2 linked regions of the Neodiprion lecontei genome follow. The protein of the gene in region 1 purifies or fractionates together with the protein of each later gene. This does not show direct contact. Links are inferred from orthologs where the notes say so. Each region holds a gene or a part of one and is shown on either strand. Other genes may lie near its edges.

Region 1 (5,665 bases):
TTCGATAGAACTGTTCTGACCCATGGAGAATAACTGAAAAGGTTCCTGCAAGAAGAAGTATTCCATTTCACCGAAGTTGGGCTCGCCAAATTGGAAACCAACCACTTTTGTACCATGGCGTCCGATCCGTTTGAAATTCTTCGATTTGCTGTACCAAACCAACCCAACATGTAATAAATCTTTCGCTGGCAACCACAAATTTTTATGACTGTATTTGAACTTCACAACCAACTAAGCTAATTCCATATGAGGTAAAATTCTTTCTTATGCGCAATTCAATGCGGTGAGACCCGCTCTAACCTGCCAAAAATCCAACCTAGCTAGCATAAGCGTGTCTTAACCTTCATTCCATTCACGTCCTCGGTCTGTCATTGTTTACAACATTCAATATACGTGCCTGACAACGAGTAAGAGCGTAGTTTAAATTTGTGTTTACAATTATCTGAGGCTTCAAATACGATAATACCGTGATATATTAATCATAACTATCCTGTAATGGTCCTGTGAATCATTTTTCCTACTTCATACAAGTGTCAAAGATAGGCCCTGTGCACATCCAAGCAGAGTGTAGCATACCAAAAAAAAACCTGAAAATATTGCTAAACATTCAACCGTTACTTTACTTTTGAAAAAGTCACCCGATTCATAAAATTTCAACGTAATACATCAGCAAAAATCAGAAGACGAGGATTTACTATTTCAGATAAGTATTGTTATCTTGACCATTTCTGTGATCGGTGTCAAATTTCAGTTGTAACACTTTCTATTGTACCAAGCTTGGACCTAATCTAATGATACTTGAAGCTGACGGCACACTCATTCATAAATTTTGTGTAAAGTGATGTGAAATATTTCCATTTGATTGCGAGTACAAGTATCAATAGCCAACATTGATGGTTAGGGACAGGTATGATGTTGAGTCAATGTACAATACATTTTTATAAAAAAGTGTAGTACTTTTATTTACATGGTACATTATTAAATCTAACCAGATAAAGATACGGTTCGATTTATGATTTATGTTTTGGCTGTACGTCTTAAAGCAAGAATTCATCTGTTCTCTGTTCAAAACTTTCAAATACATGTAATGCAAGCTAATATTTACATGGTACATTGTTAAATCTAACTAGGTAAAGATACAATGTGATTTGATTTATAATGTTTTAACTGTTTGTTTCAAAGGAATAATTCATCTTTTCTCCCTTCAAAACATTCAAATACATGTAATGCAAGCTTTGCATTACATGTATTTACATGGTACGTTGTTAAATCTAACCAAGTAAAGATAGGGTGTGATTTATGATTTATGTTAAGCTGTTCATTTAAAAAGAAGAATTCATCTGTTCTCCCCTCAAAAGCTTCAATTATATGTACTGCAAGCTTTGCCTAACTCGTAGGCAATTCGTTTATGTTTACATCATGGGGATAAAATTGGATATATATACCACCTAAAATATCCAGATTGTTATATTCTACGTCGCTTTGGCGGTGGTGTATCTCGTGGGCTTGACGACGCTTTTGATGTATTATCTACACTTTGTCTTGTCGGTCTTTTGACACCTCGCTTTGGACCATCACGGCTTGATTCAGAATCTTTCCTTTCCTTTTTGCCGGCCGAAGCTGCAAAAGATCGGCGCATTACACAATATGTACGAATTAGGTGACAGCTATTGGAACACCATATAATAAGTGCTTGGCATTAATGATTCTTGTTCAATGTTAGAAAATAATTATATTTCCTTTAAAACAAAAGTATAATTTGGCTAAACAATCTGCAATCCCACCTGTTTCATCATCGTCCTTTCCTTTGGGACGTCCTTTGGAAGATTTGTGTTGCTCCTTTTTTATATCCTTGGAGTCGCGAAGCTTGTCTTTCTTCATATCCATTTCTCTGGTAGGCTTTTTTGGCTCTTCCTTTTTCCTGTCTGGTTCTTTACTACCTTTAACTTCTTTGGGAGGAGGAATATCTTTCTTCACAATATCTTTAGAATCTTTATCCTTCCTCATTTCCTTCTGTTTCTCCTTTGGTTGGACTTCTTTACTTTTTACATCTAATTCTTCCTTCTTTCTCAATTTCATCAAAGAAGAAAACTCCGACTCCGGAAGTGCAAAATCAGTCTCATTGCTCGGAAACGGAAGATCTTCCATATCATCCTGAAACGTAATTGATCAAAATTTTTATTTAAAATTTTTAGGACTAGTAACGAAAAACTGAACTTTTGTAGTGTTATACATTTTATTCAAATTTAATTTGACGAGGGATCAATGAAATAAATCACCAGTAAACTCACCAGTGCTGCTAAGTCGTACATTGATTCCAGATGGCTCCAAACAACTTTCAACGAAATATCTTTGTGTATTGCAGCGCGAAATTTTTCCCAGATACAGACCATGTGGAAATATTTGTTGATACCTGTAATTCAGATTTCTGTACATAAGCTAACCTCAAAATTAGTTCCGCACGAGAATCTGATTTCTTCATTGTATCGTGTATTTTGTAAAAATGAATATCTTACCTACTGGCTTGTGACCGTTCATGGCAAAAAATAATTGTATTTCATTGTCAACATTCCACTCTATTTCCTCCGTGTGGTCAACTTGTTTTTCCTTGACAGCCATCGCGTGAGGTTGGCCTCTATCGTGTGGTATATATCACTTAAATGCGAAATAGCGTGGAAATAGGCCAATTCAACGGAACCTAACCTAACTCGCACAACAAACTTCACTCGTCTTCTGTAGTTTTCTAAATCAAGTATCGGGTCGGACGCTTGCTTTACCTACAGGTGACTCATTTCAGTGGGTGACTCACAGCGAGTAGGCCCCGCATTGAGAACCAATCGCATCGTTCCCTTAGACCATACAGAATCAACTGGACATTGGAGTAGTGGGGGTACTACCGAGTAAAGAACTAGGATAGTCATATCGATATACACGCGCGCACGAATAAGCCTTGTACGTACTACATGGTAATTCTTGAAATGTAGGCTCTGAAAAAAGCGCGTATTTTGATACGCTCTAGCTGTGCAATTCACTCTCGGCATGCCTAAAATCATGCTGTTTAATTATGTGAAAAATGAATTTTTTAAGTTACCTTAAAAAATGTATATGCCAGTGAAATTGAGATAACCTCAATAACATTGATATTTGAAAAAACCGAAATGTAAATACTGTCATACATACGTATAAAAGGTGACACGCGTTTTTTATCGACCGCTTCTTTACAATTAAGAGCCCAGCAATATTTCATTTCATTTCATTTTTTTACTTATTTGATCACAACAAAATTCACAGTAATATTTATTACATTGCGATTATGATTCCTTATAGTCAATATTATTATTCTGTTGACTTATTTAACATAGGGTATGGAATCCTAACATAGCAACGGTGCTGTTGAACGCGGCAACGTTTACTCTGTAATAGAGCATTTCGTCTCTCTTCTACAAATGATATAGCGTCGTCCGTCTCTTTTGCTTTACTGGGCAGCAAGCCGTACCATAGGCAATGCACAGTTCGTTCTCTATGGTCTAAGCAAGTTGCGGTCAAATAGTTGTTGTTCTGGAGATACTTTGCGCCATCTCTCGGGCTGATCCTCAATTCGCAAAATTATGCCGGATTTCCATGTATGCATCAGCTGCGACATATGCTGACGGAGGGGTAAACGAAAACGAATATTAGCCAGATTGATACTTACGCTTGCGTCAAGTGCTCTCAGGTGCTAGAGCATGGATAAATCTCTCTGGGAAAAGTTTCTTGTGTAATTTCATTTGCCTAAGCATAGCTTCACTACACATACCTATGAATCACTATACAATCGCCATACATCATATATCTGATCTGATGCAGGACACAGATTGGGATACAGACCGGAAAAATATTGCTGATCGACGGTCGCTTTATTACGGTCTGAAGGTAAAACAAGCCTGACCAAACCGAGCAGTTGCTCCAATACGGATATATATTTCTGACAAATTTTTAATATATTAATAATCTCCTTTTCTCCAGCTGCAGGTACCGGCATTTTCACAATGCCTGTGTAAGATTGAGTCTAGTGACTACTGCCGAGAAATTCCGGGATTCTTATTTAGCGTCTAAAAGTCCTCTTCAGTTAAAGATCACTATGCTTATTGTACTTAGTGCTATACCAGTACTCCGATTCTGACTTATTTTTAACTCGCGAAAGCAGTGATAAGTGCCATCTGAAGCAATCAGACAGCAGCTTTAAACGGAAAATCTTCCTTTCACGAATACAAAATAAGTCAGAATCATGCTCCTGGGATTCACACATTTTAGCGAAATAATGAAAACGGCAAATTATTGTTGTTCATCAATGTATCGGCAGATGAAAACATGGTAAAAAAATTGTAGTTCATGCGGAGTCCGATTTCGTCAAATATGGTTGTGATTAAGATAGCTGCTACCGTAATAACGGAAATAATTAGCGGCAGAGAAGTAGGAGGTGCAGACAGAAGTAGACAGGTTCGCGAGACCGTCAAAAGGGAGCGGAAAAAGGTAGAGAGCGATGATGACTAGACGCGGTCCGCTGCTTCAATCTTTTCAACTGAAGCAACGCGGGAAGCATAAACCTGAACGTTTGAAACAACGTCGAGTTGAACAACCCTGCAGCCTATATACGTGTACATAACTGACTATTGTAAATGTATACGTAAATGAGGAATTCTTGCGATCATCAGGGCCAAACTTGAATAAGAACAGAATATTCTTTATTACAAGAACCTTTTGAACATTCATTAAAGTAGCGCCAATCCATGCAATAAAACTCCTCAAATAATCGGCAGCATAAAGTCAACGTATAAAGTTTCGGCAGCTCTCTTGAATCTAACATAACGCCAAAGAAAATTTGTATTCATTCAAGGCATCGCGATCAACTTTCCTGCACCTTGATTGCAATCTGACGAACTGTTCAAAATATCACAGTTATTCTTTTCGTATACTGCGATGTAAATATTTAAAGCCAAGAACTACTTGTGCCTAACACCATTGATTATACGTACATGTATACTACTTTTTCTCCTTCATTTTCTCCTCCTTCTTTTCCTTGTTAATGCAAAATTATGCGCCACAATTGTCCGTACGTAAGCCATGCTTTATACAGTATACACCAATGCAGTTTAGTTGCATGGAATTCAGGTGCCAATAAGTGATCAAGCGAAAGATATCAGCGATGAATGGTGAAATACTTCCGTTGCTTATATATACAAATATTCTGAACTCTCTCTTGTAATCAGTAGTAATTGAGCAGACCATTAGATAGTAAGCAATTACGGATATAACGACACTTATTACATATAATATCCAATTAATTTTTCTTCGCATAATTAACGGTAAACTTCAATTCCGCAGTAGAGTCTACGCCACTTCCAACATGAGAGGTAGAGTTGAAAGGAGGACAATCTTGGCCACACACGAATAGCCGCATCAGAAATTTTATAAAGTAGTGTTTTTGCCTTAAGCTATAAGTGCTTGTGGTATTGAGCCTGAGAGTGGATTCATAGACTTATGCAAACAAGGAAACCTCGCGTGGTCTCTCCCTCCAATCTGAAGCAATTCCTATTGTCAGGATTGGCTATGATGATTGTGCAGGCGGTAGAGAAAAAAAAACCGGTTAATTGTCAATTTTTAGAGGCGAAATGTTCCTTCAACA
Region 2 (8,185 bases), on another chromosome or scaffold:
AAAAGCGATCATTTTCAGAGATACGTCCCATTCGCTGCTGTGGCTGCGGCAAACTGCGCGAATATTCCATTGATGAGGCAGGTCGAGATCGCCAACGGAGTTGACGTCTGCGACGATAACGGTAACAAGTTAACGAAATCTAAGGTGAGCACCTACGAAGACTTTAACAACAACCGATTTATCATCTCGATATTGATACCGTTAGACCGCGAATACGTCAAGTTAATCATGGATATTCAAGTACGTTTAATTACAGATCGCTGCAGTCAAGGGTATCAGTCAAGTAACTTTTTCAAGGATCGTTATGTGCGCCCCAGGAATGCGTGAGTAACGTATGCAATAGAAATTTTCAATTTCTAATTGTCTGACAACGTTATCTCAATTATTTCTTTATACAGTGATTCTTCCGCCAATTATGGCGAAGCTGGAAACGTACGGCTGGATGCAGAGGATTAAACCACTTCATGCACCAATTCAAATTATGCTAGTCGGATGTTTGTGAGTAGATGCATACGCACAAATATCTCATCAACGTTATGGAAAGTATTTATTCTGTGACTTTATTTTTTAGCCTAACATTCATGGTACCAACTGCTTGCGCTCTGTTCCCGCAAAACTGGTGAGTTCAAGTTTCATCATACCGTGACGTTTTACGTGAATTATGTTATTTTTTTAGAAAATGGAAACAGAAAAAAGAAAACGATTCCTTTTGCTTTTTACAGCTCCATTGCCGTGAGCACTATTCAAAAGTGGGAGCCAGAAAACTACGAGATTTTGAAGAAGAATTGCAAAGACGGAAATGTACCAAAGTTCCTGTACTTTAATAAGGGGTTATAAGTATTTTCATCGGCGTATCGACGTAGCCACGTGGAAACGGAATGGTGCTTTCCGTTGCATCTTCGTTACGAATCAAGCGAAATTGCTTGAAAGTAAAATGAATGGATAATAATATAGAAACGCGGAATCTCATAAAATATATACCATAATATGCCATGAAAAATTATTTAGGCAAATGGGGACTGGAAACCGAAGTTCTTTACTATTTCAAGAAAATTAAATTTATTTAATACCGAGTTGATAATGTTGGTGATAATACTCAGATTAGGTTATGCAGATCATATGAAAAATATTAATGCAGTAGTAAGATAGGGGCGATGATTATTTAGCAATAATTGATGGTTATCATCTACAGAGATGACGAAACGTATTAGTTGGCAATACTAAAATATCAGCTGTGATTATTTTCTCATCTATTCGTCACTCATTATGGAGTACAATATGCCTATGCATTGGCAAATTTCCCATTCAACATTTGTAATATCAAACGCCAAATACCTGTACAGATAAAAGTATACGTACGTTATTAATAGTCATTTAAATAAACGCGTTTGACCATAATTACACGCATTATTCTTAGCATTCTTTTATCCCTGTGATTGAAGAAGATAGTTTTGCAAAACAAACTACTCATTATGAGCCAAGATAATTAACTTCAAGATTTATGCCAATGGTGTAAAAAGTTTAATTTGATAAAACCGTATTTGTAAAGTAATATATAGACATGCTGCACAAATTCATTATATATTAGGACGAGCAAGTGAGGGAGCTTGCGACGGTGGTGGAACGTAACCAATACGCTCCTGTAACTCAGTTGGTGGAATTTTGCCCCAAGCTGGCGGATTGAATCCTGGCTGCTTCTCCGCCTCCTTTTTATTTTCCCGTTCTTTCCTTATAGCCTCGAATTCCAGCAAATCATCGAGCTTCAGGTCGATCCGTGTTGGGCTACGTCGAATCATTTTGTTCTACCTAACAAAAAATATGTATGCCTGTGCCTCTAAGATTGGTATCTTGACTATCATTCATGTAGCTGATTCTTCGCGCGAGTTTAATGAATTTTTACTTCAGGGATAAAGAATTGATCAGAACGTAGTCAAGGCATTTTGAACAATGCAATCACGGGGTTCTAAGTAACGACGAATACGACCCTGAATCTATCCGCCCCTGATATCCTGACTCGTGTTTTTCAAGATGGAGGTCAGGATCCGACGGACAGACAAGATCTGCGCTTCGTCGCTAGGCAGAGATATATTAACAGTGAATATTTTTTTTACGTCTGTAAAATTGATGAAGGGAAGCCACCGGCAGATTGAAAAAGAATCAATATAATCGTTGGCAGAAATAGTGATGAATCGCTTATCCTACAAGAATAAATAAAATTACCAGTATGAATGGGTGAATGTTTTTGGGTGCAGCACGCAATCAAGTCGCCGTAAACACGCTTCCCGTCGACTGCTGAGATATAATAAATTTCCGAGTCCGTGGTCAGCACCTCAGTTTCGAAAATAGTAAAACAACCGTAGACCCAGGATCCAGGAACTGTACGTCGGCTCGAAAGGATGCTGTATCTTGAAGATTACGTCGAAAGTACGTAAAATCGGAGACGACAGCACAAGCCCGAACTTACAAGGGACCTACTAACCTTAACGAAGGCATTCGGCCTCGACGAGCCTCACAAATATCCTCGTAAAAATTAAGATCCCATCAATATCGCGTTGTAGTTTCGCGTGTTCGTTATTCATGGAAAATTTTCGTCTTCTTTTAGCCCGACATCGACACCGTCATCTTATTTGATTGTATTAGACGTGAATTATTTAGCCTTTTGTAGGTTAGGCTGATGTTATTCGGACGTTTAGTACATCAAGCCAATCTCACTACCCACAAGTTTTGCACTACTATTAATTCCGACAATGTATCAGGGATGTTTCAGTCCCGTATAAATTGATTTCTTGCCTCCAACTTTGCTTTTCATACAATATTCATCCGTTTTATTTGAACCACCGTTTGGTTATGTTGCCTCGAAACTCCAACTCCGCTTACTTTTTCTAGTGATCGAACATCTTCCGCAGGAGCTGCGCGACAGATTCACTGAGATGAGAGAAATGGACCTGGGAGTGCAAAGTATACTATTTTATTTTCTATATTACTCAGGGTTCGTACGCACCAGGAAAATATGGAAGGAAAAGTTAGAGACTTTTGAAAACAAGACTGGAATTTTGAGTCTGTCGAAGGACTAAGCTCGTTCTTGTACAAAGTACTACTAATCTTGAGACAAAATAATTGCGCTTAAAATTTTGTTTCCTTGCACCACTTCGTACATTCTATATATATATTACTTGATACCAAACCGTTTTTCATTTTCTTCTTATGGAAAATTGCAGGCTGTTGTTTGTAAATTGATAGTCAGAAAGTAAGATAGTTACTAGGTCATATTGAAGGTATTAGTATTAATTTGTAAAAATATTGTCATTAATCAGTGTCTTTTTTGTTGAAAGGTTACTGGAAAATTCCTATTTTCAAGCAGGAATACCTGGAAAAGTCAGGGAATTTCATATTCCAAAAAGCGTACAAACCCTGTTACTCTGCGTGTCATAATGTAAAAGATTATGGGATACAGCGCAAGAACCGAGTCATTCTACCACGATTGTCTTCGTAGTTTCAATAATCTGTTGTAAACTTTGTAGACTCGATGGATAGCCTGGAGAAAAAGGTGAAAACCTTCTTTTCAAACGCCAAGAAAATGAAGCCAAGTGACAAGGAGGCGGAATATGAAACGATACGAAAAGACTATTACAAAACTTTAGAAGATGCCGATGAAAAAGTGCACTTAGCTAATCAGATGTACGATTTGGTGGATAGATACTTGAGGCGACTTGACCAAGAGCTTCATAAATTTAAAATGGAACTTGAGGCTGACAACAAAGGAATTACAGAAATATTAGAAAAACGATCCTTAGAATTGGATCAACCGCCAACCAACAGTAGTCAAAAAGAGAATCGTTATAGTTTTACTTCTACTAGAACTCGGGACAGTCACGGACATTGTGAGTGTAAATCGTCAATTATGGACGTCAATAATGATACAGTAGCGCTCGAAACTATTTTGATAATATGAAATTTGTAACTTCTTTGATCAATCGTTTTTCTTACTTTTCTTTGTTTTCACTTTATTTTTGAGCAATCGAGAGTTAATTTTTAACAGTTATGTAGAACATCGAATTTCTTTCGACCAATAATATTATTTATTTTTGTAGTTTTTACTTGTATGTAATTAACTGAATTACTATCTTTGTCAAAATACTTTTGAGCGCTACTGTATATTCTCAATTTCTAAATCGAATTTCAAAAACATGTCAGCTGCAGAATATTCACATTTCACTTTACTGTTCAAATTATCATATTTTCTTAAAATTGCTACGTCTGTTTGGAAACTTGAAAAAAATAAAATGAGTTGTGAACCAGGTCATCTGATTCAAAACAGTTTACAATGATGATAGTTTATATTTTATCTAGCGAAAGTTCAAAACTTCGTCACAATCACAGAGAAATCTTGCTAAGAAAACGTGCAATGAACCAATTTTACTTGGACTCCCCTTAGCTACCGGGACTCAAGGGCTAACAGATTATAAATTATCCCCAATGATACTTTCAAGTACTTGTGATCTGCTGTCATAAACGGTTCTTCAAGTAAATTTCTGTTCAATCTGGTATTTATTGATACTTTTAATTGCAGCACGGTCAGAGAAACGGAGAGACTCCAACGCGTCCTCGGTATCGGTAGAAAAACGATTAGTGATTGAAAAATCGTCGCAAAGTCTTCCAGAATCACGACCAGCCTCGGCAAATTCTGGTCCAATAATTGCAACTACTCTGCCATCCGCGCCGACGGCAATAGCTAGTACAGTTGGTCCGGTCAATTACGGTTTAGGGCATATTGGCGCTGGTGGTAACGCGATAGCTGCTGCTGCATCGCAGGCAATTGCTGCAACGCAACAAATGCAGCAGGGACGGCGAACCGCCAGTCTTAAGGCGAGCTATGAAGCCATCAATACCGGAGGTGTTCACGCGGCTGAATTTAGTAGGGAATTAGCTGGTGCTGCACAGACTGCTATAGCTGCGATTCAAGAAACCACCAAGAAACATAAAAAGTATGTATACTTTGAAAGAGAAGAATTCAATTGGCCAAATAAGACTTCGGGGTACAATGATCAAAGAAAACCAGATTTTCCTGTATTTTTATCTCCACCGACAGAACTCACTAGTGTTTCTTCGCTTGCAGAAAAGTTAATACTACAGTACCTAGTACCAGTGTGATACCAGCGGCAGTTCAACAACCCGTCTCTCCACCTGGAGTAACGGCTACAGCAGCAGTGACAGATGCAGATAATACAGATTGGCCGTACGACCCGAACGAGCCGAGATATTGCATATGCAATCAAGTGTCTTACGGCGACATGGTTGCTTGCGATAACCAGGATGTGAGTATCAAGCGTTAAGATGCTTACATTTGCTCTATGTATTATTTATAAAAACAGATGCAGTACGCAGGGTTTTCCTCCCATATTTACTTCGATTGATAATTATTTGCAACATTTGTTTCAGTGTCCGTTTGAATGGTTTCATTACCCGTGTGTCGGAATTTCTGCGCCACCGAAAGGAAAATGGTATTGTCCGCAGTGTACGTCTTCTATGAAGAGGCGCGGTGGTCGGAAAAATTAATGAGGAAAGATATTTTTTTGAAATATAAACACTAAGGATAAGGAAAAGTAAAAACAAAAACCGTAAAAAAATGAATACTACCTCTTAGCTACTATCTGCCGATTTATTATCATCAATTTACATAGAACAGTCGACGCGAATCTGATGTTAGGTTTTTTTGTTTTTTATAACTATAGAATATGAATTTTCAAGTTTAAGTTTTGCTCTTGTATAGCGCAAAACCTGATTCGAGTCATAAACTCGTGTTTTATAAATGTGAGGGATATAATAGCTTAGTTTGAGAAGTACCTAATTAAACTGCGTGGCATTCGTTTTTTTCCACACGCCGCGTTTTTACCTGGGGATTATCTTGCAGTTAAAAAAAAAGATGAGAAAAACGAACAATAAGAAGAAAAAGTAAACTCTCTCAACATTGGCGAAAAATGTTTTTTTACCTCAGATATTACGTTCAACGGTCCCCATAAGTTCATTCGTTTGTAACCTTATTGTGACCTTGTCTCTCTCTCTCTCTTTAAACGATCTTGATGTGTTTCGTATAGAATTTGTGACCGTGGTCAAGCTTAGCCAATGTTGTATCGATCTTTCGATCGTTACAAGTTCAGTAAACAATGAAAAACATACCAACTATATAAGTGTTATGTGCTTTCAAAAAATAAGGAAACGGAAATGAAAGAAACGAAAAAAATTTCACGAAACTAAAACGACTAAAAAAATGTTTTAAATCTATAAATAAATGTAGCAAACATAATAATGTGTAATAAGATGTGTGATGCGATGGCACGATTTGTCGGAATCGCCTCATTATGAACGGTACAACTCCTGTCATTGTAGATAATTGTAGGTCCATATCGTCAGTCGGTGGCAGAGCTCAAACTCACGAACAAATGGGGAGGAAAGCTTTGGAGTTGAGATGGCGTAGAAGGGTTGTAGCGAGAAAGACACTCATTCGTTCATCACTTCAACAATCCCTGGTTCCAATTTCTCACAAAGATAGAAGTTGTACTGTACATTATTCCGTTTCTCTTAATTATCTTACCGTCCTCAGTCGTAAAATAATAAAAGAGACGATCGGTCAATTGTGGTACATTAACAGGCCAAACTGTCATTAGCAAATCCAAAAGTATAAACAAATTTGCATATAATCATCTGGAATTTGTTTTAACGGAGATTGGTGCAAGGAGATTAGAAAAAGAGAACAGAAAAAAATCATGTAAATTCAAGAAGAACACAGGCTGACTACTATTTCCGTAGGACTAGGACTATGAACATAATAAATGTAATATCTTGACGTGTAATAAATTGAACGAAAAAACGGCAATTATTTAGACTGTGTGTTAACATTAATATCCCCATCTTCCTGTGCAGTATTGTATTATGTCCCAGGTGAGCCCATATCACACGACTCCCTTGACATGAAAATTTGGTACTTGACAAAGGAATTTTCAGAAATTTAGGAATGTTTGAAATTTAATAAACCATGATAAATAAAATGTACTCATATTTTGCAAAGCCAATTTTACATCGAAAATTATTCTAAAAATGCGCAATAATAATTTTTTCTCTGATCTTTCGTTACGTCAACATTACTAACTTCAGCCTCATGTTTTCATTGGATATTCCCCCTCCGCCCTCGACGTTTCAAATTTAAGGTAGGCCTAACTAGCGTATACCTAATCTGACGAAATCGAGAGTTGTATTGCGATGGAGCAGAAATAGTTGACATACAAACTGAGGAGTATCAATTCCGTAATCAAAAATGCGTAAGATATGATTCTTACATATAACACGGGAGGCAGATTAAACCCGACGTACATACAAAACACCAAACGAAAGAAATGCGTGACCGCCGGTGTCTGCATCCATCGAGGGATTGCGTAGGTGTACATCGATAAGAGTGTGTATAACACGCACAGTGAAATTCGAGATGCTTTCCTACATGCTTACAGGCACAATAATTATGTGTAATAATTGTCAGATTACCTTCGGAAGGTGCAGGATGACGAGCAGGCATACGATCCGTGTTGCACAACGCACGATATTATCACCGAGGCACAAGTCACAAACACTGTCGCAAGGACGTTGAAGCCGTTTAAACACATAACAACAGCGTCGCTTCAACTTCTTATGTCGATACGCGGACCGCGGTCATCGCGCCGAGTGACCGAAAATAACGTCGGACTAGGTACGAGAGCGGTACCTAGGTGTAAGTGATACACCGCGAGATGCTGACAATGGCTCGGAAGCATGTACGTCGCGTAATTAACCCATCCCAGCGACCGGCGCGATTCTCGTCCCTGTTTTCACTTGCGAGACTGACCACAAACGCGTTCTTCGTAGTTCGATCATATTGAAGTTAGTTACGTTATCGTGACGATTCCGTACTAGGGAAAAGCCGTTATTTCGCGATTATACGATTGCCTGAAATTCAGTAAACCGATCAAAACAAAACAACTAACTTCAACCTCGTATCGTTCGACGGTTGACGATCGGCGCTGCATCGGCAACTTCACGACGTACGGAGGACAGTCAATTTGGCGGGAAGGCGTTTTTCCATTGTTTCAGAGGGGAGGAATGCCGGAATGTCAAGTTAGACAACCTACGAAATCTATGGAGATGATCCGCTAAGGCG

What was found.
Region 2: the proteins of MRG/MORF4L-binding protein (region 1) and inhibitor of growth protein 3 purify together in Homo sapiens (co-immunoprecipitation; 4 studies listed by BioGRID and IntAct, counting the BioPlex papers as one, with this or other methods). This does not show direct contact. The link is inferred for Neodiprion lecontei from reciprocal best matches to the Homo sapiens genes MRGBP and ING3.

The regions. Positions count from the first base shown.
Region 1 is NC_060262.1:41,134,025-41,139,689, forward strand, and holds MRG/MORF4L-binding protein, read right to left. Parts: upstream 3,444-5,665; 5' UTR 3,181-3,443; intron 3,129-3,180; exon of another isoform or gene 2,894-3,128; 5' UTR 2,620-2,893; coding exon 2,517-2,619; intron 2,429-2,516; exon of another isoform or gene 2,414-2,428; coding exon 2,292-2,413; intron 2,155-2,291; coding exon 1,785-2,154; intron 1,621-1,784; coding exon 1,466-1,620; 3' UTR 1,349-1,465; downstream 1-1,348. Other genes in the region: 40S ribosomal protein S28, read left to right, coding at 1-8.
Region 2 is NC_060265.1:31,030,692-31,038,876, reverse strand, and holds inhibitor of growth protein 3, read left to right. Parts: upstream 1-2,286; 5' UTR 2,287-2,396; coding exon 2,397-2,424; intron 2,425-2,886; coding exon 2,887-2,958; intron 2,959-3,332; exon of another isoform or gene 3,333-3,521; coding exon 3,522-3,881; intron 3,882-4,570; coding exon 4,571-4,985; intron 4,986-5,116; coding exon 5,117-5,315; intron 5,316-5,439; coding exon 5,440-5,556; 3' UTR 5,557-6,883; downstream 6,884-8,185. Other genes in the region: sideroflexin-2, read left to right, coding at 19-144, 257-323, 399-498, 572-619, 723-837. UniProt on the Homo sapiens protein: Component of the NuA4 histone acetyltransferase (HAT) complex which is involved in transcriptional activation of select genes principally by acetylation of nucleosomal histones H4 and H2A.